2 linked regions of the Drosophila melanogaster genome follow. The protein of the gene in region 1 interacts with the protein of each later gene in a biochemical or structural test. Each region holds a gene or a part of one and is shown in the gene's direction. Other genes may lie near its edges.

Evidence for each region.
Region 2: the proteins of dgt1 (region 1) and wds form a complex in vitro, tested with the Drosophila melanogaster proteins (one study listed by BioGRID).

The regions. Positions count from the first base shown.
Region 1 is NT_033777.3:29,851,428-29,861,665, reverse strand, and holds dgt1 (dim gamma-tubulin 1), read left to right. Parts: upstream 1-4,174; 5' UTR 4,175-4,268; coding exon 4,269-4,779; intron 4,780-4,832; coding exon 4,833-5,025; intron 5,026-5,091; coding exon 5,092-5,255; intron 5,256-5,312; coding exon 5,313-5,713; coding exon of another isoform or gene 5,714-5,722; exon of another isoform or gene 5,723-6,017; coding exon 6,018-6,518; 3' UTR 6,519-6,536; intron 6,537-6,622; coding exon of another isoform or gene 6,623-6,808; 3' UTR 6,809-6,971; downstream 6,972-10,238. Other genes in the region: CG15514 (uncharacterized protein), read left to right, coding at 312-959, 1,031-1,312; CG7824 (uncharacterized protein), read left to right, coding at 2,795-2,891, 2,948-3,909; Cad99C (cadherin 99C), read right to left, coding at 7,358-7,493, 7,559-8,284, 8,354-8,472, 8,538-9,065, 9,135-10,238.
Region 2 is NC_004354.4:2,582,199-2,592,054, forward strand, and holds wds (will die slowly), read left to right. Parts: upstream 1-3,781; 5' UTR 3,782-4,080; coding exon 4,081-4,351; intron 4,352-4,562; coding exon 4,563-5,188; intron 5,189-5,242; coding exon 5,243-5,431; 3' UTR 5,432-6,019; downstream 6,020-9,856. Other genes in the region: AANATL7 (arylalkylamine N-acetyltransferase-like 7), read left to right, coding at 842-1,528; CG13760 (uncharacterized protein), read right to left, coding at 2,094-2,197, 2,265-2,404, 2,469-2,737, 2,800-3,009.

The DNA.
Region 1 (10,238 bases):
ATTATATTGCTTTACAATTAAGATATATATCAGGACATGTATTTTGGAATACAACAGGAGCACTTATTTAATTATAAACTTAACATTTGAGAATACCACTACTGCTGTCGAAATATATTACCCGTTGAATAAGGTGTGGCCAGCTTGCGTTCGTAACAGCTCGGTAAAATGTTAGCTTGTGGCTTCGCGCACACGGTCACACCCTCATTTTGCACCGAAAATAAAAGCAATTTGATAAATAAACGCGACAATTGCCACCAAATTGGCCAGGAGCAGGCGAAACTGCAACTCCCGGATTTGCGGAAGCAGCTATGGTTGGGAAAAACTTCAAGGCTCTAGCGCACTTCCACCGACTGACCGAGTACATAGTTCAGTGCAAACACTGCGAGAAGACATTGTCCTCCAAACACACATCCTCCAACTTGACGCGCCACTTAATCCGGAACCACAAGCTCTTGGCCCGATCAATTTTTGCCGGCGAGGAGGGTAAGATGCTGGCGGAGCTGAAGGACGAGCTGGAAGCCTCCGCCTCCGAGGACCTGAGCATGGAGCTCGGAGAGGGCGAGACCAAGTCGGCGGTGCGCGGCATCATGAACGCGAAGCTCGAACAAGAGCAGATGGAGCGGCACAGCCAGGAGGAGATGCGCAACAAGGTCATTGGGAAGAACAATAAACTGTGGGCGCACTTTATCCGCATCTCCGAATTCATGGCCAAATGTATGCACTGCGGCAAGACGCTCTCCTCGAAGCACTCGTCCTCCAATCTGATGCGACACATTGTGCGTCGTCACACCAGCCTGGCCAAGACGCTGAATCACTCGCACCAGCACCTCATGACACCCAAGAAGGACTCCTACGCCAGCCTGGAGCGTAGGCAGGCGGCTGATCCCCTGGAGAAAGTCAACTTTGACGATGTGGACAGCATCATCGAAAAGGTGGCCGATCACCTTGAAGAAGAGGTTTGTCCACGGACCACTTCCGCTCCCCTACCCACATTTAGCCTCTACATGCTTTCGATCTTTGATTTAAGGTCACTTCGATTTCGCTGCAGGAACCCTTCTACGAGTACGTTGTGGACAACTCGGACTCCGTGGTGGTGGACAGGTGCGATGAGCCGGAGCCGGCGGAGATGCAGAACATGATTCCGCAGGACAGCGCCTCGCTGGCGGAGTCCACCACACAGCTGGACGAGAAGCTCAAGGCGGAAACGATATACTACAACGAGATGGCCGAGTTGGCCAGGGCCAAGCGGCGGCTCATTGATCTGCAGACCAAAAAGCTTCTCCTGGACATGAACGTAGTGGACAACTAGCCCATCGACGATTGGAACGGCTTGTGTTTGTAGGTGGATAAGGCGGGCAATATGATTATTTACACTTAGGTATGATTATACTTTAAACGATTTTATGATCTGAGCATTTATTGTGCGGGGGATTAATTTCCACGAGGGAAGGGCATAGAAATTGAAAGAGAAGTAATTTGGCCATTGCATGTTATTCTTATGTCCTTTTATTAATTTATATATTATTTGTAAAAAGTGCCGGCTTAAAAGCGATCATTTCAGCTCGTAAATAAACTTCACCGTTACGCTTAGAGTTAGTAACAAACTGTAGCTCAATTATGTGTTATTAATATGCTTAATCTAGGATTCTACTCATTGTAACTAAACGCACATTCAATAGTGAGCACTGTACTTAAACGGTGGGAAATACCGGATATTTGCACTACAAGATTAATAATTATGTTGCGGTCACACTCCTCGATAACTTCCAATATCGAAGTAGGTTGTGTCAGTTATCGCTAGAAAGCAGGCAGAGATTTGTTTACTTCTGCGAAGATTAATTCAGCAGAAGCACGGAAATACGGATCCTTAATCATGACTAGATATTCACGTAAAAACCAGGCCTTGCTTCAACTCCCCGTTCCTTGGAGAACAGGAACGTAAAACCGGCCTATAAGGGTATGTTAGCCGGGTATCTGGTGCACCCACATTATTAAGTTGAGACCCCTCTTAGTTTCCTAGGGCTTGGAACGGAGGGGGAAAGTGATACTTCAAACGTGTCAAGGAGTAGGGTAGAACGCTCTTGATGTGTTCAGCGCAGAGCACCAATCAGTAGCGATCAGCAGCAACGTAAGCGAAACGGACCATCGGACTCAAATGGGAAGAATCACAAACGGAGATGCAGATGCATCTGTCTATTTAGGCCTGGAAGTACAAGGAGTTGATCCAGGACAACCCGACAATGGCCCTGGTAGACGAGCGCCACGCAGACGGCTGCTTGCTCTTCGAAAAGTGGTGTCAGATCGAGGCGAGGCTGGCTCGCATTGTGGCGGATAGACGGGCGGCGGTGCCTCAAGGACCTCACCCGTTGCTTGACTCCTCATTTGTTATTCGAGGACACCGGATGATCAGGTGCTAGGACGGCTTCTCTAAGATCTTCCTAGAGGATTGCATTGAGCAATTAGCCGACGCATGGGATGGACTATGCATTAAGCTTGTTCACGCCAGCGAAATACCCAGTTCAAGTCAAGCGGCCCGTTTTGTTCATCAAGTAAGTAAGAGCTTTTCCTGTTTGTACAAAGACAATACAGTTTATGAAATAAATAAACGATTGAAGGAACGAATTTGGATTGTTTTTAAATTCCGCCCTGGTTTGCGCCACCGCTGATTGTCTATCATGGGTTGCAACCACGTGGAACTACAGTTATTTTTAGGCCTTTTTTCGCGCTTCGATGGTAAACACATTTTGTTTATTGCTTAGCTCTGAGAAACCAAGACGCAATAATTGACAAAATGTCCAGTATTTGGACAAAAAGGAAGGACTCTTTCTGCAATAACGAAAATATAAGGGCTCAGAAGTTCGAGGATGTGATTGTAATCGATGACAATGGTAAGTCGTGTGTTGTCAGCCTTCTCGATGCTAACTGCTACACTTGGTCCTTCAAGATCGTGGCGACTCTCTCCGGAGTGTAAAATCCGAGCCCCCTGAAGAAAAGCCCCGCTTATCTCCACAGGACGCTAATCAAAAACGTGCAGTAAAGGAGGAGAAGGAAATGTCCAGGCGCGCACGCGCTCGAGCCAAGAAAATACGGAATACAGAGGCAAGAGCAGCGAAATCGGTGGTTACCAGGGGTGCGGGTAAAAAAGCAAGGAAGCGTAAGAAGCAAAATAAAGCGGCACTCAAGAAGGCTAGTGAACTTGAACCCAAAAAGGCAAAGGGCTCCAAGGAGGCTAGTGCCCACAAGAAGGCAAAGGGACCCAAGAATACAAGTCCTCCTATGGCTGCGAAGCCCAATTTGGCAAAGAGTGACAACCTGACGATGGCCCTGGTGGACGAGCTCCACGAAGACGGCCGTCTGCTTAACGAAAGGTGGCAGGAGGTCGAGGCCCAGCTGGCGTACATGGTGACTGACAGAGTCATGGCCATGCCGGGGGGTCCCGTCCCGTCCTTCGATAGCTCAGACGTAGTTCGTGGCCACCGAGTGATCCGGTGCGAAGACGGATTTTCAAAGGTATTCCTGTCGGACTGTGTTGCCGCGATTAGCAACTCGTGGCATGACATGCGCATCAAGCTCGTCCATGTCAGCGATGTACCATTTGCGCCTCAGGCGCGCATCTGGTTGCCCACGGGTCAAACGGACCACAACCGGATCATGATCTGCTTGAGAGCCCAGAACCTAAATGTGGACATGTCGGACTGGTCCATCCTCAGGGCGGAGGAAGTCATGGAGATCAGTCAGAGTTTCCTGCTCCTTATCAACCGGAGGTGCATCCCGCAACTGGATGCAGTGGACTACAAGTTGCGCTATGGCATACGAATGGCCCAGATCCAGCTCATTTTAAGCGAAGCAGACGATTTGCCATCGGAGTTCGACAACTACCACCCATTTTGCCATTTTCCCCATTAAACCATAAATCCTCAGGCTCTAAGCTATGTTTATTAGAGTAATAATATTGTTAGAGAAAGAAACGAATTTCATAACCTAATAAATCTCCAATTGGTTTTAGATGCCAACTTAGACAGCATTTTTATCAAATTTAACCTTAATCTTAAGATATTTTTAAATATAGAAACTCAACATGGGAGGTGGGATACCCTCTTTTGGTTCATGGCGATGCTGACTGGTTGGCAAGCGTGACAACGTGTGGGGTATTTATGCTCTACTTTGCTGTGGTCACACTGTTTCCACAGCATTTTATTTCATTTCGCTTCGTCTGAAAAATCAGAGAACAATTTCTAAAAAGCGGCAAAAATCTTGAAAGGACGATGTCCAGCTTTTCGCCAAACCAATTGCGGCAGTGCGCCCGCTTCACCGGCACGCCCTGCACTCCGGACAAGGAGCACCAGCTGCGGGAGCAGATCCACAGCGAGCTGGTCAAGATTAAGTACTGCGCCAATCCCACCTACGAGTGCAGCCTGATGCGGATCGAGGGCTACGAGTATTGCATCCGACACATCCTGCGCGACCCGCGCTCCAACTTCCGACAGTGCTCGCACGTCTACTCGAACGGCAGGAAGTGCATCAACGCGGTGGCCAAGTATGACAACAAGAAGGAGCTGATCCTGACGACCCTCTGCTTCGAGCACAACCGGCAGACGCAGCTGCAGAAGACGCACATGAATGTGGGCCGCATTCGCAGCCGGGTGGAGACCAACGAGACCCTGCTGCACAGCCTCTCATCGCACATTAATGTGGAGGACATAAAGCCAGAGGTGAAAAAGATCGAACGCGATGATGATGAAATCGATGTGGTCTCACCCCACGTGACGCCATTTGGTATGTCTTGCTGACTATAAACCGAGCTGAAATCTAATTTTCCTCACTTCTAGTCACTCAGGATCACCGCAATTCCATAGGACATGTTGTGGAGAGCTCTCGCAAGCGACGTCGCATTTTGGATTATGCTTCCGATAGTTCCAGCAACGATGCAGATCCGCCCTGTCTCAGGAACACCGCCCAGGACATTGAGTTTTACGAATCTGACCATGAGAGTATCGATTCGGAGGATGATGATCCTTTGAAGTAAGATTTGATTTATTCGTAGCACTATTTTTTAAGGAAATTTTAATTTTTTCTTCTCCCTTGTAGACACGCTGGCGTCTTTACACGCGCAGAGGCAGTAAAGATTGCCGAAACGAAGCTGATCAAGCTTCAGGGTCTTTACCGCGAGCAGATTTCATATCTGCAGAACGTGCTGAGGCAGCGACGTCGCAAGTATTTGCACGATATACGACGCGAGCGAGAGCTATATTGTAAGTTTCACTTGCCTTTAGGTATGCAGGATAATGTGTCTTATGCCACACTTTCAGGCAGCATTCACGATCAGCTAAAGGACACGCCACACGAGCGAAAGCTGTACGAGCAGCTAAAGGCGCTGAATAGCTATCATCGACGCCAGGGCGTCGAGGCGGTGCTCTACAAGAAACTGAAGGAGAAGCGAGCTCGCGACGCCTTGTACGCAGCCAAGTCGTCGAGCAACCCGAAGTGCGTCTTCACCGAAGGCGGTGTCAAGTGTGGTGAGCGAACGCTGCCCTGCTGCAAGCACTGCCGCAAGCACATTCTGGAGGATAAGCGCCAGGTGCTGTTCCGAGCCTGCGGCGTGGAGCGGAGTGGGGTGGTCTGCCAGGAGCCAGTGGCTAGCATTCTCGAAGACTCCAGTTGCGTACTGCACCTGACCGTGGCGCCGGCTAAGCGCCAGTATATACAAAAGGTGCGTTGATCAAACACTAACCCAACCCACGCCATAACCACCACAAGTAACTGCTTATATATTCCAACTGTCCACTCACCCATTGCCATAAGTTGTGTTGCACATGACTGCTGAAACTATAGTAAGCCAACTGTAAGACAGTTCGAACAAACAATACTGCGTAACTAGTATTTAGGCTTGATTTGTAGTAAAGCTAAGTATATCTAGAGAAACAACACGAAACACATGTATATAAGTGCTAGTACTGTCTAAGCAAGCCCTTTGTGATCGACCCTGAATAAATTGCCGACCTCTCATCCCCCAGTTTTATGAAGTTCCCAGCACTCCGCCGGTAGAAAGTATTTTCGCAGCAGGCCGTGGTCTCGATAACTTTGTCGGAGAAGACCCACGGAATGAGCCGCAGCCGGAGGGGGATGACCTCTTGGATTTTGCCAATGGTATATTCGATTTTGACCTTGACGGAGTTGACGATCTGGCAAACTCCCTCGACGATGATTACTCCATGTTCCTGGACATGGACAGTGACCTGGGCTTAGCCATTGAAGATGACGGTGTGGAGAGCGATCCTGTAGACTTAGGCCTCGAGGAGGAGGGCGATGGCGGGTCCAACGACTCAGTTGGTCCAGCTGAAAGTCAGGCTCAAGATAACCTCATCGCAGACAACTTTGAGTTAGAAGAACCATCCGTGCAAGACAATAACGAACTTAACTTTGATATCGACGAGTCGGAGAGCAATGTGAACGAAGTGTTGCGCTTGCTCGAGGGCATAGAACACATGCCCTGGTTCGATGCCCTCATGAACTAGTCTAATAGCGTAGTAAACGTAATAACCCACCATACTAACCCAAATCCAGAAAAAAGCCCAAAGTATCTCTTCTTCTCATGCTTGCAATTCCCTTTACTTCACAGAAATGCGAATCGGAGACCGAGGAGGAGGAGACCCAGTCCACCAGCTTGATTAGCACCATAAAAAAGGAGGAGGAGGACCCCTCGGATAAGCTGTATACGAGTCAAGCCCTCAACGTGACCACCGCACATGGCGAAGACAACAAGGGCGACGTGAAGCCCAGGGAGTACGCCCCAAACAGATCTTAAACTAATTTTTAAGCCCTCGTAGATTAAATGTTTACTGTTGCAATCATAGAAACCTAGATATAAATCTCCGACACGAAAATGTCAGTTGGTTTTGTACTCAGCCATTGTAGTTTTTGGTGCATTCGGGTGTAAGGAACCCCTAATAAATAGGCACTCTTAAGTTAAAAATCTATTTATTTACATTTATTGGCTTTCCATAGTTTATACAACTTAAACAGTTTATATTAATGCATGTACATGTTTTCAACAATTCCTAAAGAAAACGACTGCGTCTGGCAGTTTCGTAAGTGTGTGGGAAGTATGCACTCTGCGTTCGCTTAAATATAATGACTGTAATTATTTGATCTTAAGCACGGTTAAATATATTAGTTATCAGTTCCTCCATTCTGCATCTCCGCTCAGGTATTTACAGATTGCTCGTGCTATGATCATAAATTGATGGCAACCGCTCTCGTTGTTAAAATGCACTATTAAAATTACAAATTGGCAGCTAAGTATATTAACAAGTCTGTAAAATGTATCGAAACCAGAATATTCCTAGTGTATTCCCTACAGTTCCGTAGTTGTTTCCACCTCCGACCTATCCAGATCGTTTAGATATGAGAACCCTATTTGGCCATAGTCCCTCTTCCCGAAGGACACGTTCTCATTGGTGCTGCTCAGGTGGTTGTGATCGGAATTGGATCTGCAGGATAGAGGGTGTTACCAATTATAGTTATAGTTATAAACTAGGAAGTAAGCTATGCATACCTTTGAAACAGCGGGTTGGTGATGGGCACCTCTCCGCCGTACAGGCGATTGTTGAGCTGGCCATTCCGACCCAGCGTGGCGTTCATCAGCTCCCCGTTGCCATTGAGCAATCCCACGTCGCCGAAGGTGTTTCCCCGCCTGCCCATGGTGCTGTAGGCATTGTTCTTGGCATGGGCCATGTTGTTGGGCCCAGTTGGGTCTATGTTGTAGGCGCCGTTCTGGTAGTGGTTGCTGTTCTGGTGCTTGATGCGGCCCAAAGTCAGGGTGCCCGAGAGGGCTCCGTTCGGCGGAGATGCCAGCGGATTGGCGTTGTTGCGGGTGTTCATCTCCAGGGTTCTATTGAAGGTGTTCTGCCTGTTGTTGATGGCCAGATTGTTGTTCATGCTGGCGTTATTGAGATTCTTATGGCGGCGCAGAGTGGCAATCGTGGCCGTGGTGGCATCCGAGTGGGAGGGACTGGACTGGCCACCGCCGTTGGTGTTCTCCTTGTGCGTTATGTAGCTAACATTGTCCAGCGAGAAGGCATGGTTCTTGGCACTAAAGTCCAGCTGCAGATCATCGTCCACATCCGGTGGCACTGCCATGGCCAGCATCTGGGTCTCGTACTCCTTCATGTTGGCTATGGTTTCGCTGGCACTCGAGGCCTGCTGGTTAACGATCACGGGATCGTAGCGGGGAGGATTCGTGGAGGAGTACTGGCGCATCCGCTGCTTGAAGTTCTTGTACCTATAAAGAGCAAGTGTGTATGCAAAGATTTAAGTAAAAGTAAATAGAGGTTACATGTTATCCACTCACTTTGACCAAGAGATGCATATGTAAATGATGCCAATCGTGCCCAGGATGAGTATAACAAGTGATATGGCAATCAGAGTGAAGGGGAAGACTTCGTTGTCGATGGCTACGGCGGCTTTGACCTGGAAGTGCCAAAGCTATATATAGTATATCCTAAGAAAAAGTAGTAGTAGAATTAGTTGCCCACCTTGTGAACGTGCTCCTTCCTCTCCAGGGGAAACGATATATTCTCGGCTGTGGCTCGCGGCAGGGCTATGTTCAGCTCCGATCGCGCAGCCGGTTCCAGTAAAGTGGTCTCCACAATGCTGTCCTTACGGCTGACGAGCTGCTCCGTCTTGGGATCGATGAGGTAGAACCATATGTCCGTAGCAGCCGGGTTCTCGATCACCGATCCGTTCTTGGCCAGGTACTTCTGGCTGCTCATCCGTTCAATGCCGCTGACCAGGCCGGTCTTCTTGTCCAGCAGCTCCTCCAGCTCCGTGTAGTAGTTGCGGAGATCGCTGGGCGCTGCATTCGGGAAGGATAGCGCCATGCGGTTGATGTCCGCCAGCTTATTGACCACTATCCTGGCCCTCGTGCGATGGGATCCCTGCTCCTGGCCATCGCTATCACGGGCTTCCACCAAAAAGGTGAGTGGAAAGTCGTTTTCGTTCTTGAAGTGCTTGGCAGTTCGTAGAACTCCAGTGTCTTCGGACATCATGAAGAAGCTGGTGGGCTGGAAACATCATATGATAATTATCAAAAAAAAAAATTCATTGCCTAATGTAGAGTATAGATTTCTCACCATGTTAACCCGGTTTTCATCGTCGTCGTAGAGAGTGTAGCGAACGGTTCCAAATTTCCCCGAATCACGATCTGTGGCTCGCACCTGCAAAATGGTTGTGTCAACATCCATTTCCTCCGTCACCACCGTGTAGAAGGTGTCTTGCTGGCCGCGCAGCCTGTTAAACTCGAACTCCGGTGCGTTGTCGTTCTCGTCCTGGACTATGATCTCCACGCTGGTGGTGTCCTTCAGGGGATTGACGAAGTAGCGATGCGATGTCAGGCGCAACTGGAGGCTGTACGAGCTCTTGTTCTCGAAGTCCAAAGGTTGGATGAGCAGTAAGTTACAGCCATGATCGGCGGAGCTCAGATTGAAGATGCCCCCCCCGTTGCCACTGACGAATTCACACCTGAATGCCGGCGGCCCGTCGCCAGACGTCTTGGAATTCACAATCTGAATGAGCTTAAGGGTGCTATTGGCTTCCATTGACTCCGGCACACTGGTGGTGTAGCTGTCGTCGCTGAAGGCCAAGCCTATACTTTCACTGCTCATGCCCGTTCCACTTTCCAGCTTATTGTCCAATTTGATTTCATTATTGCCGCTGGACAAAAGATGGTGTACGTCGACGCGCAGTGGAGCCACCGAGCTCAGCTGTGGTTCCCCCAGGTCGTATGCCCGTATGTCCACCTGGTACTCCGTGTCCTCCTCTTTGCGCAGTTCATCTCTTATGCGCACCGCTCCGGTGTCGGGATCCACTTGGAAGTATTTGGGCGCCTTGCCGCGACCCACGATCTCGTAGCGCACCACATTTCCCGGCGAAGTGCCATCGCCATCGATCGCGGGCAGAGTGGCTATAATGGTTCCTATGCCCTGGTCGTCGTTCACGGTCACCGGATCGGGAACTGTTATAAACCGCGGAGGCAGATCGTTGCGATCCTCCACATCAACCACCAGCAGGATTGTGTCGCCTGGTCCATTGCCATCGTTCTCTATGGTTCCAATGGTCAGCTGGTGCTGCTTCTGGCTTTCATAGTCCAATCCCTTAATGGTCCTCACCTCTCCGCTCTTCTCCGAAACCTTGAAGAGCTCTGCGTTGCCCTTTCGGAGCACATAGGTGATCTCCGG
Region 2 (9,856 bases), on another chromosome or scaffold:
GAGGCAAACACGAGGGCGTACACGCAGCGAAAATTTGAAGTCAATTGGAGTGGTTTGACCTACAAATAACGTGTGAAATACTATTGAAACCCAAAGGTTTTTAGAGCTACACTTACGTGGAATGCGAAGTAATTTCAATTTTCATTGGTTTGCAGTTAGAAGTCTAACTTGGTCTGAGTATTTTCTCGATGTGTATTAACGGGATGCTGTCGCTGGCGCTTCGCTTGGTCGGCTGCTCCAGCTGCTCCAGTCGCATTTCGCATCTGAAAGCGCCCGCAAGTAGGTTACACATTTTTTCGTCGAGCAAAACAAACAGCGCACCTCTGCCCGCCGTCCAGCTCATCCGATCCCGATCCCATTGGCCACAGACGAACTGAGTAAGTGGAACTAACTAACAAAATCCAGCACCGAAATCGGTTGGCCACGGATGACACCGCTTTGGTCGCGGTGCCTGGGATTAGGTGGGCTATTCTCGCAGGGGGGGTGGCATTCGTTGGGGGTGTGTCATTGGGGCAACACAAAGAATAGTGAAAGTGCAGTGGGAGCGAGCGAGAGGCAAGAGGTCGAGAGTTGAAAGGACAGGCAGAGAGTTGCGACTAATTGAGTTATAGGAAAAGAGTACCCACATGTATGTACCTAGACTTTTGCAAACGAAAATTAAAATTAAAAAAATTAATAGTGCTTAAATGTACGGTTGTAATGTAATGCGTACTTACCATTCGAATTTAGTTTATATTTTAAATCATCGAGATCTATTAGTAATAATATTATTAATAAGCTCCTCCCATAGATCTTCTTTACCATCCGCAGACAATTCGGCGATTGCAGCGGCTGTGACACCATGGAGTACAAGATGATTGCACCGGAGCACAGTGAACAGGTGATGGAGCATCTGCGGCGCAACTTCTTTGCCGACGAGCCGCTAAACAAGGCCGCCGGCTTGTGCCAGAACGGCAGCAGTTGCCCCGCCCTGGAGGCGCACTGTGCCGAGGCCATACAGCACCGGATGAGCGTGATGGCTGTGGACGCAAAGGAGAAGGATACCTTGAAAATAGTCGGCGTCGTCCTCAATGGCATCCTGAAGCCGGGCGACACGGCCAAGGCGCTGAGCAAGCTGGACTGCAACGACGATGCAGATTTCCGCAAGATTTTCGACTTGCTGCACAGGCACAATCTCAAGCACAATCTCTTCGAGCACTTCGACGTGGACTGCATGTTCGATGTGCGCATCCTATCGGTGGACTCGTGCTACCGTGGCCAGGGGATTGCGAATGAGCTGGTCAAGCGGTCCGTGGCGGTGGCCAAAAAGAATGGCTTTCGCCTGCTGAAGGCCGATGCCACCGGCATCTTCTCGCAGAAGATCTTTCGTTCCCATGGCTTTGAGGTCTTCTCGGAGCAACCCTACAGCAAGTATACGGATGAGAATGGCAAGGTGATCTTGCCCGTGGAGGCGCCCCACATCAAATTGCAGCAGCTCTACAAGGCGATCTGCGCGGATGACCAGGATGAGAAGAAGCAGTCGCTTTAAGGAGTCACCCGGCTGGCTCACATTTGGAACAATAATCTCATTTATTTTCTACATATACATACATTGCATAATCGTTATTGGAATGTTTTCGTACTACAAATATGGAAATTAGTTGGGGGGCGTTTAACGGAAAGTTAAAGCTAGGGAACAATTACTATTGTTCTGTGTTTAAACATAACTATGAAATAACATTGGATTTTCGGACTTTCCGTCGACGGTTTTTGGAGCGTCAATGGAACGCCTCTATAATGTACGAGTAGACGCTGCCTGGCACGTTTACATAAATATAATTTTGTAATTGTTTTTTTTTGTATGGGGACCAACTGCTAACAATACCTAAATAAAGTACACTGTTGTGCCAAAGTTAACCAGACAGCTTTTTCTCTTACCTCCCACTCGAAGTCCCCCCCTACAAGGTCTCCTCCTAAAGTCCTAATATCACAAGCGCAGATTCCAATCATCCGTTCTCATCACCTGGCAACCTGGCGACGGCAGGTACTTCTGTTCATCTGTTCATCAATTCATCTGTTCATTTGTTCATCTGTTCCGCTGGTTTATCCATCTACTACTCCCTAGTTTCCTTCTTCTCGTATATGAAAATGATGTCCTCGTCCGTGCCGTAGGCGCGTCGGGCCGTGTCCATGGACTCGATGAGGCAGCGACAAATGTCTGTGGAACGCAGCCAAAAACGAAAATCAATGAATTTTCAAGGATTGCTACCAAATGGAATACTCACGGCCATCGTGGACCTCGGGATTGTGGTAGAAGAGCTTCTGGGCGGCCATGTCATATCCGCAGAGCACCACATAGTGTCCGGCATACCTTTTGGGTCCATGGAGGCGTGTATTTTGAGCAATGCAGGGTATATGAAAACAGCTTTTCATTCGAGTGTGGATTTAAGGTGGTTTTTTGTGAATCGCCGGTGGCAAGAGGAACTCACCCGAACTTCTCTAGGACATTGCGCTTGCACACCTCGCACGTGAGCAGCGAGGCGTTGGTCAGCAGGATGACGGGTCCGTGGCGGGCCAAATGCCGCAGAATGACCTCCATGTCCACGGTGCGCTGTTCAACGCGCAGTCCATGGGCCCGGGCGTCCTTGAACTTGCGCGTCACGCGCCGTTCGTCCTTGTCGATGATCTTGGAGTAGTACGTGTGCTGCGCGTAGTTGGGATCGATCCCGAGCGTTTGGGTGAAGTACTCGTGGCGCACCTGGCCAAGAAGAGAGTGTCAAAGAAGTGAGCGAATGCAAATGTGCATCACGGCATGCCCACCTGGTAGCGCATCAGCAGATAGCACAGGTCGATGGTCCAGGTGCTCGAGCCAAATCCCTCCTCGCCGCACACGGCATCAAAGTTCCCAAGAAGCTGTTCCCTTTGCTGCGCCGACAGGATCATAATGATGCAGGACAGACCGCAGTCCCAGTTGTAGCGCTGCTGGTAGTGCGTCAGGTTGTAGTGCTTGCTCGGCGGCAGTCCGTTCATTCTGGCCAGCAGCTGGGCTCTTCTTGGCTTCTTGTGCTCCTCGGGTCCTCGAGTCCTTGGCTCCGTGTGCTTCGCGTGCTCCTGTGCCCGCGGCTGCGCTCCTTTGATCCTGGCGTCCAATTGGAAACTGAACTGGGAATGTTTTGGTCTAACAGCTTGGGCCAGTGTGGCCAGGTGCAGCTGTCTGCGGAATGCCAACTGTCGGCTATGTCCAGTTGAAAAAAATGCCAATTGAATTTTTTTAGATATATATTGTAAATATTGTAATTAAATAATATTTATACATAAATTGTGAGTCGCCAAAGGAGTTAGATGTATTTTCCTACAAATCTTGGTTGCTGCTAGGAAATTTTTGGTTTGAAATCTTAAAGGCGCAAAAAATGTTCTAACACTATGTAAATCCTTCTTAAGCCCTTCAAAATTGACAGTTCAGTTAGAATTACCTGCAATTTTAAGACTAAATAACTACTGGCAATTGGTATAAATTTAAATGCAACTGTACGCGAAACTTCAAACATGTATGAAACGATCTGGCAACGTCGAGCTAACTGCATGCAATTTGGCATCGATGTGCCCGATGCACTCCCCCTGATAGTTTCAGCGGGAAACTAAGAGTCCCATTCTAGAATCATCCCCCAAGGACGAAAACATCCCAAATCTCCCTAAAAAAAAAAACAAAAAGCAAGGAATCGAGTAAACACGTTCCACCACCGCTGTGGCAATCCGTGGCTGGTGCGCAACGGCCACACTGACGCGCTGACCAATTTTTAGTTATTAGTGTGACCTTAAGCATTATTATTTTCACGTGTGGCACGCAAACGAGCCAAAAAACCAAGCGCCTATTTAAACAAACAAATCACACGCCCAGCAGAGAGAGCAGCCGGTGACCACCGGTAACGGGAGTAGCTGCAGTTAATCCGACAGGCCCAACAAATTCGCCCGCTAATTGGCGGCGTTTCTCTAGTCGGAACAACAAGAAGAAGAAGCACGTGTGCGGCGTGCCAAAGAAAAAAGGAAAATAAACAAGGAGGCCAGGCCAAGGAGCATAAGCAGAATCCGCATCCGGAGGACATGGTGCCCATCGGAGCCGTGCACGGCGGCCATCCCGGCGTAGTGCATCCGCCACAGCAACCACTGCCCACGGCGCCCAGCGGCCCAAACTCGCTGCAGCCGAACTCGGTGGGCCAGCCGGGGGCCACCACCTCCTCGAACAGCAGCGCCTCCAACAAGAGCTCGCTATCCGTCAAGCCCAACTACACGCTCAAGTTCACGCTGGCCGGGCACACCAAGGCGGTGTCGGCGGTCAAGTTCAGTCCGAATGGCGAGTGGCTGGCCAGCTCCTGTAAGTACATACATCCCTATCCACGAATATCTGGGGGGGAATTTTATGGTACTGAACTGCTATTGGACTGAACAGGCAGCTTTGGCAGCTCAGTTAATGGGAATTGGGATGAAATAAGATCTCGGAAAAGAGAAGAAGCATTTATAGAATACATATTGTACATTCCATACATACAGCACATGCCTATTAAACTTCCACTTCTAACCCTCAGCCGCTGATAAACTAATCAAAATCTGGGGAGCATACGATGGCAAGTTCGAGAAGACCATTTCGGGCCACAAGCTGGGCATCAGCGATGTGGCCTGGAGCTCAGACTCGCGACTCCTCGTGAGCGGCAGTGATGACAAGACGCTCAAGGTCTGGGAGCTGAGCACCGGGAAGAGCTTGAAAACTCTGAAGGGCCACAGCAACTATGTGTTCTGCTGCAACTTTAATCCGCAGTCCAATCTGATCGTCTCCGGCAGCTTCGACGAGAGCGTTCGCATATGGGATGTGCGCACCGGCAAGTGTCTGAAGACTCTACCCGCCCATTCCGATCCCGTTTCGGCGGTACATTTCAATCGCGACGGATCGCTGATCGTGAGCAGCAGCTACGACGGCCTCTGTCGCATATGGGACACGGCCAGTGGACAGTGCTTGAAAACCCTGATCGACGACGACAATCCGCCCGTCAGCTTTGTAAAGTTCTCGCCCAATGGCAAGTACATTTTGGCCGCCACGCTGGATAATACGCTCAAGTTGTGGGACTACTCGAAGGGCAAGTGCCTGAAGACGTATACGGGTCACAAGAATGAGAAGTACTGCATATTCGCCAACTTCTCGGTGACGGGAGGAAAGGTGAGTTCATATCTTATGCACATTTAGGCTTTAACTCACAAGCGTCCATTGTAGTGGATCGTGAGTGGCAGCGAGGACAACATGGTCTACATTTGGAATCTGCAGAGCAAGGAGGTGGTGCAAAAGCTGCAGGGACACACCGATACCGTTCTGTGCACCGCCTGCCATCCCACGGAGAACATCATTGCTTCCGCGGCGCTCGAGAACGACAAGACCATCAAGCTGTGGAAGTCGGATACATAGAGTGGCTGGTATCCAGCTGGAGGACGTTCGATCGGAACACACACATACATTTCTTGGATAATATTATTTTAAAGCGAACAGCCTAATCGTAATTGTAACACCCCCACACCCCCCCACCACGAGCCCCCTTTTTTTTTTGTACGCATAATTTAAAAAAGAAAAGGAACTCTAAAATTCTACGTTTAAATCACACTTTAAACCTCACATTCTACGGCAAAACGGAAAAATTACAAACAAACAAACAAAAACAAAAAAAAAAAACAACAAAAAGTGAAAACAAAAAAAACGATTAATGTATAAATATTTATTAGCCTATTGTATTGGCCCACCATGCAAGCGAGAATATTCCCCCAAAATTGTTTGTAACCTTTGACACAGCCACGCAAACCAACATAACTTATAATGATCTTTCGGTGACGAGAAAACTAAATTTAAGCGTAAAAGATACAACAGGTGCTCGGGGCAGAATCCCAGCGCCAGAAAGAATATATATAAAATACGAAATGTAAATTTTGAATAAAAGAAAACACCGTCTCGGCGGCGCCCAAGTGTCCTTTCAACTTGCGCGCTTTTCGAGGCGAGACACTTAAATGTACAAATTGCATTTTATTCACATAATAAGAGAAGTTTTAATTCTAAAAAAACATACAGTTTAGCAAAATTACGAAACAAACGAACCTTCATTACGGTTTAAAAGCGATAATAAGTACGTTTAATATATTACGGTTTTTAAATGAATGAACACAGGTATAATACTTAACGTAGACGTTTTCTTTAAGTTATTTATTTTTAAACTCTAGCGCCTATTGGAGTGCGACCCTGCGTTGAGTTCGGTTGAAGAGGGCCACACTGCCCGTTCAGTTTGAACGTTTGCCACTGGATTTCGACAACGGCGCGCGACGGTCACTTGGCGAAACGAAAATCGAAAAAACCGACGAATCGAAACTCGGAGATCACGGATTCGATTCACTTGATTCAGAACCTTGCCGAATCCGAATGCCCCTGCGATGCGCGCGCCAACCCGCTGAACAAAAGTCGCCAAGTGAATTTTGCAATTAATTTGCAAATCAATATCGCTCCGCCGCCGTCGCGCACACACACACACACGCAAGCACCCGCACCGCGCACACATACACACACACACACACACATAGGGACCGCGACACGCATAGTGAGAAAGAAGTGGCAATATAAGCAAAAAAAAGAAAAAAAATACAACGGTCGTGGGAAAATCGATTTTCCTTTTAAACAAATCGCTGTTAGCTTGAGCTTTTCCAAGCGCCTCTGCTGCAATTCCTTCGTTTTTTTTTCCTGTGCAAAGTACGCCGAGAGAGCGGCGTGAACCGGTGCAGAGAGAGAGAGATTAAGTGAGAAGGGGTGAGAGAGTGGAAGAAGGTGTTCATTGGCAGAAAATTAGCAAGGCGACAAACGTTTATAAATATAAACACATATATTCCAATATAAAAATCGCAAATATTAATGACGAGACAAGAGCGCCTGCAACAACAGCAACAACTGCAACAACAGCAGCCCAGCAACCAGGGATTCTAATTCGAAAATAACCCAAACAAATCCAAATCGGCGGGAGCGACAAGGAGGAGAGGAGAGTGCTAAAGAGAGGCGCCAACAAAAGTGTATCATTTAGGAGCGGCACACCCAAGAACGCGGAAAACTCCCGCCCACCCTCGCCACGCCCCTCGCCGACCAGCACACCCATTACCAATACCAATAACAGCAATAATAACAACAACAACAATAACAACAACAGTCTGCAGTGAAGAAACGCAGAGGAAAAGACAGGCGGAGACAGATATAAAACCCAAACATTCGGACACTCGCTCTTCTTCTTCCCAATCCGTTTTGGCATGGAAAACATGGTGAGCAAAGAAAAGCAAGTTGTTAACTTTTCAGGGGCGTAAATCGACAGGGGTTAAGCGCTAATATTCATCGAGCTAAATGTCCGCTTGACGAACTAGTTTAATGAGCTTAACTACCCAATTATTAAACCCATTTAACTGCGCCCTTGGCTAGCCACCCCCCTCACTTTCGACGCCCTTGGACCGCCTATTAGCACATTTCGGTTAACAGCAGTTGTTGTCGCCGTGTGTGTACATATGTGCACAGTGGCGGGCAAGAAAGTAGGTCCTAAGTACAGAGATTTCCAATAATTGCGAGCAGTGTCTTAACTACTGTCCTTACCCGCCCATGTCCTTATTACTTAAGATGAGCAGCATTACCAAATCAGACATTGACAGTACTTTAGTCTTAGACTTTGCATCACAGCCGTGTCTGTTTGGCGCACTGCTCGCGTGTTTTTGTGTAATTTCGCTCCCATGTGGCAATGTGACCTGTTAACTTGGAAAGTTACCCGGTGGATCTCGTGACTCTCGTCTACATCCAATATTCATAGCCAGCGGCGAATGTCCTTGAGCAAGGGGTTGGCCCCCATTTTAACCCCCCGATGGGCGCAGCAGGGCGTGCGCCTAACCCTTATGCCGCCGCTCCCTCGATGACGTACAGTCAACACGGCGATTGAAAGAACGCAGGATGTTTATGATGCTTATGATGCTTATGATGTGCATATGTGCATAACATAAATATATATTCCCAACGAATCCATTGACTACTCAGCGATGCAAACAAAGTTAGCAACGTATTTAGGGCGCAAGAACGGTTTCCGTTGAACGGAAACGTTGACTTTAGCAAACAATTGGGATTGTATTTCGGTTTCAAATAAACATACATAAAGTAGGTTTCCAAGATTCTTAGGCCCTAAGCTAGGTGATACTTTTAGTAAACGTTGATAAACACGAATGAGGAGCAACGACCATATAATGTCCTCCTAAGACAACGCCAACAGCAACTTGATCCGCTGCACTTTCTGTCGAGCTGCTGCAGATAAGGAGAAATGTAGGCTTTAGCTGGTAAACAAACTGGAAAACAGTAGAATGTGGCACACCTTTGTGGCGCGCTTACTTTGCCGACGAAGGAACTTTCCGTTTAGCTCTGGCTACTATATTTGCCATTGTGTTTACTCGGCGGACTGCTCTGTGCAATCCAGTTGTCCATTTGCCCTAATCGAAGGGGATGGGCCAACCGTTTGCATGGCCCCTTTTGTAACTGCCGGCCACATTTTACTTGTGGCCACCATAAGCGAGTGGCTGATTGCGTGCTCTGCTCGCGCTTATCTACGCACGGACACAGACGCATGTTTGTCGCTGTTTGCTCAGTCCATTGCGATAAGCGATTTGGTTCTCTGCTTTTGGTCTCTGGTCTCTTTTGTTTCTTTTGTGCCAGCCGTCGATTTGTGGCCAAAAGGCTGGTGCCTGCGCTGCTTAGTGGGCTGGTGACATAGCATGTGTGGTGCTCGGTCCATGTCCTTGTTGCTATTTTGCCTCACCTCCTGACCTGGCCATGATGTCATGTCGATGGTAGCACGTGCCTGACCCACTGCTAATGTGCGCTCCTAGTTTTCGACATGCAATTATCGTATCCGTCCATCTGCTCCGGTTCTAGCGACGCCAATGAACTAGGCATACAACGAATTGCCATCTGATATGAAGTCCATTTGCATGATGTCTCCAGCTCTGTCCAGACCCATGATGATGTCATACTGACCGACCCACCTGAATATGTGCCCTTGGCTTGGCATTGTCCTCTTGTATACTCCAAATCCACTATCTACACGATGGTATATTCAGTGCATCCACATACATATATGCGTGCCTGCGTCTTTTTCGGAATCCCCATTTGCCTGGCCCATGACGAAATTTCGGCAGAAGTAACACATTCGGAACGACTGTCCTACGGAAACCGAGTGCAAATGCTCCGGAATTAGTCACCAGACACTCACCGTGGCCATTATCAGAACTCGTTGTTGTGTGATTCGAATGATTCAAGAGGTGGGACGGACAGGTGAACTGTGATTACGACGTAATTAAGCAGTACACATAAAGAAATATGTATGTTTTATTTTTGATATCTAAGAACTTAAATAAATATGCTCGTCTGCAGGAAATGCGAAACAATATAGATGACAATTGCCTGAAGAGCGTGCAAATCATAAACTAGATATGGGCACTCCCCTGAGAAGCCCACACGAAACATTCAGAGCAAATTGGTGCCTTAGCAAATTGGACTAAAAACAGCTAATGAATCACGAAACCACTCAAGTGACGTGCGATGCACCAACGATGAGTTGGCCAAGATCGGCGCAGTTCCCTGCCAGTTAGCTGGGATCGTGGCCAAGAGCGTAGTGGCCCATTCAGTGATTGCTGCTGGCGATTCTTCTACGTGTAGCAACCAAGTATTTACTGCCAAAATTGGTTAGTGGCGCTCTGCCCTCCGCTGATTGCGTTCTGCGCTTGATAACGTATTTAATTTATTATTATGACTGCACACACACACAGCCACATTCGTGTGGCG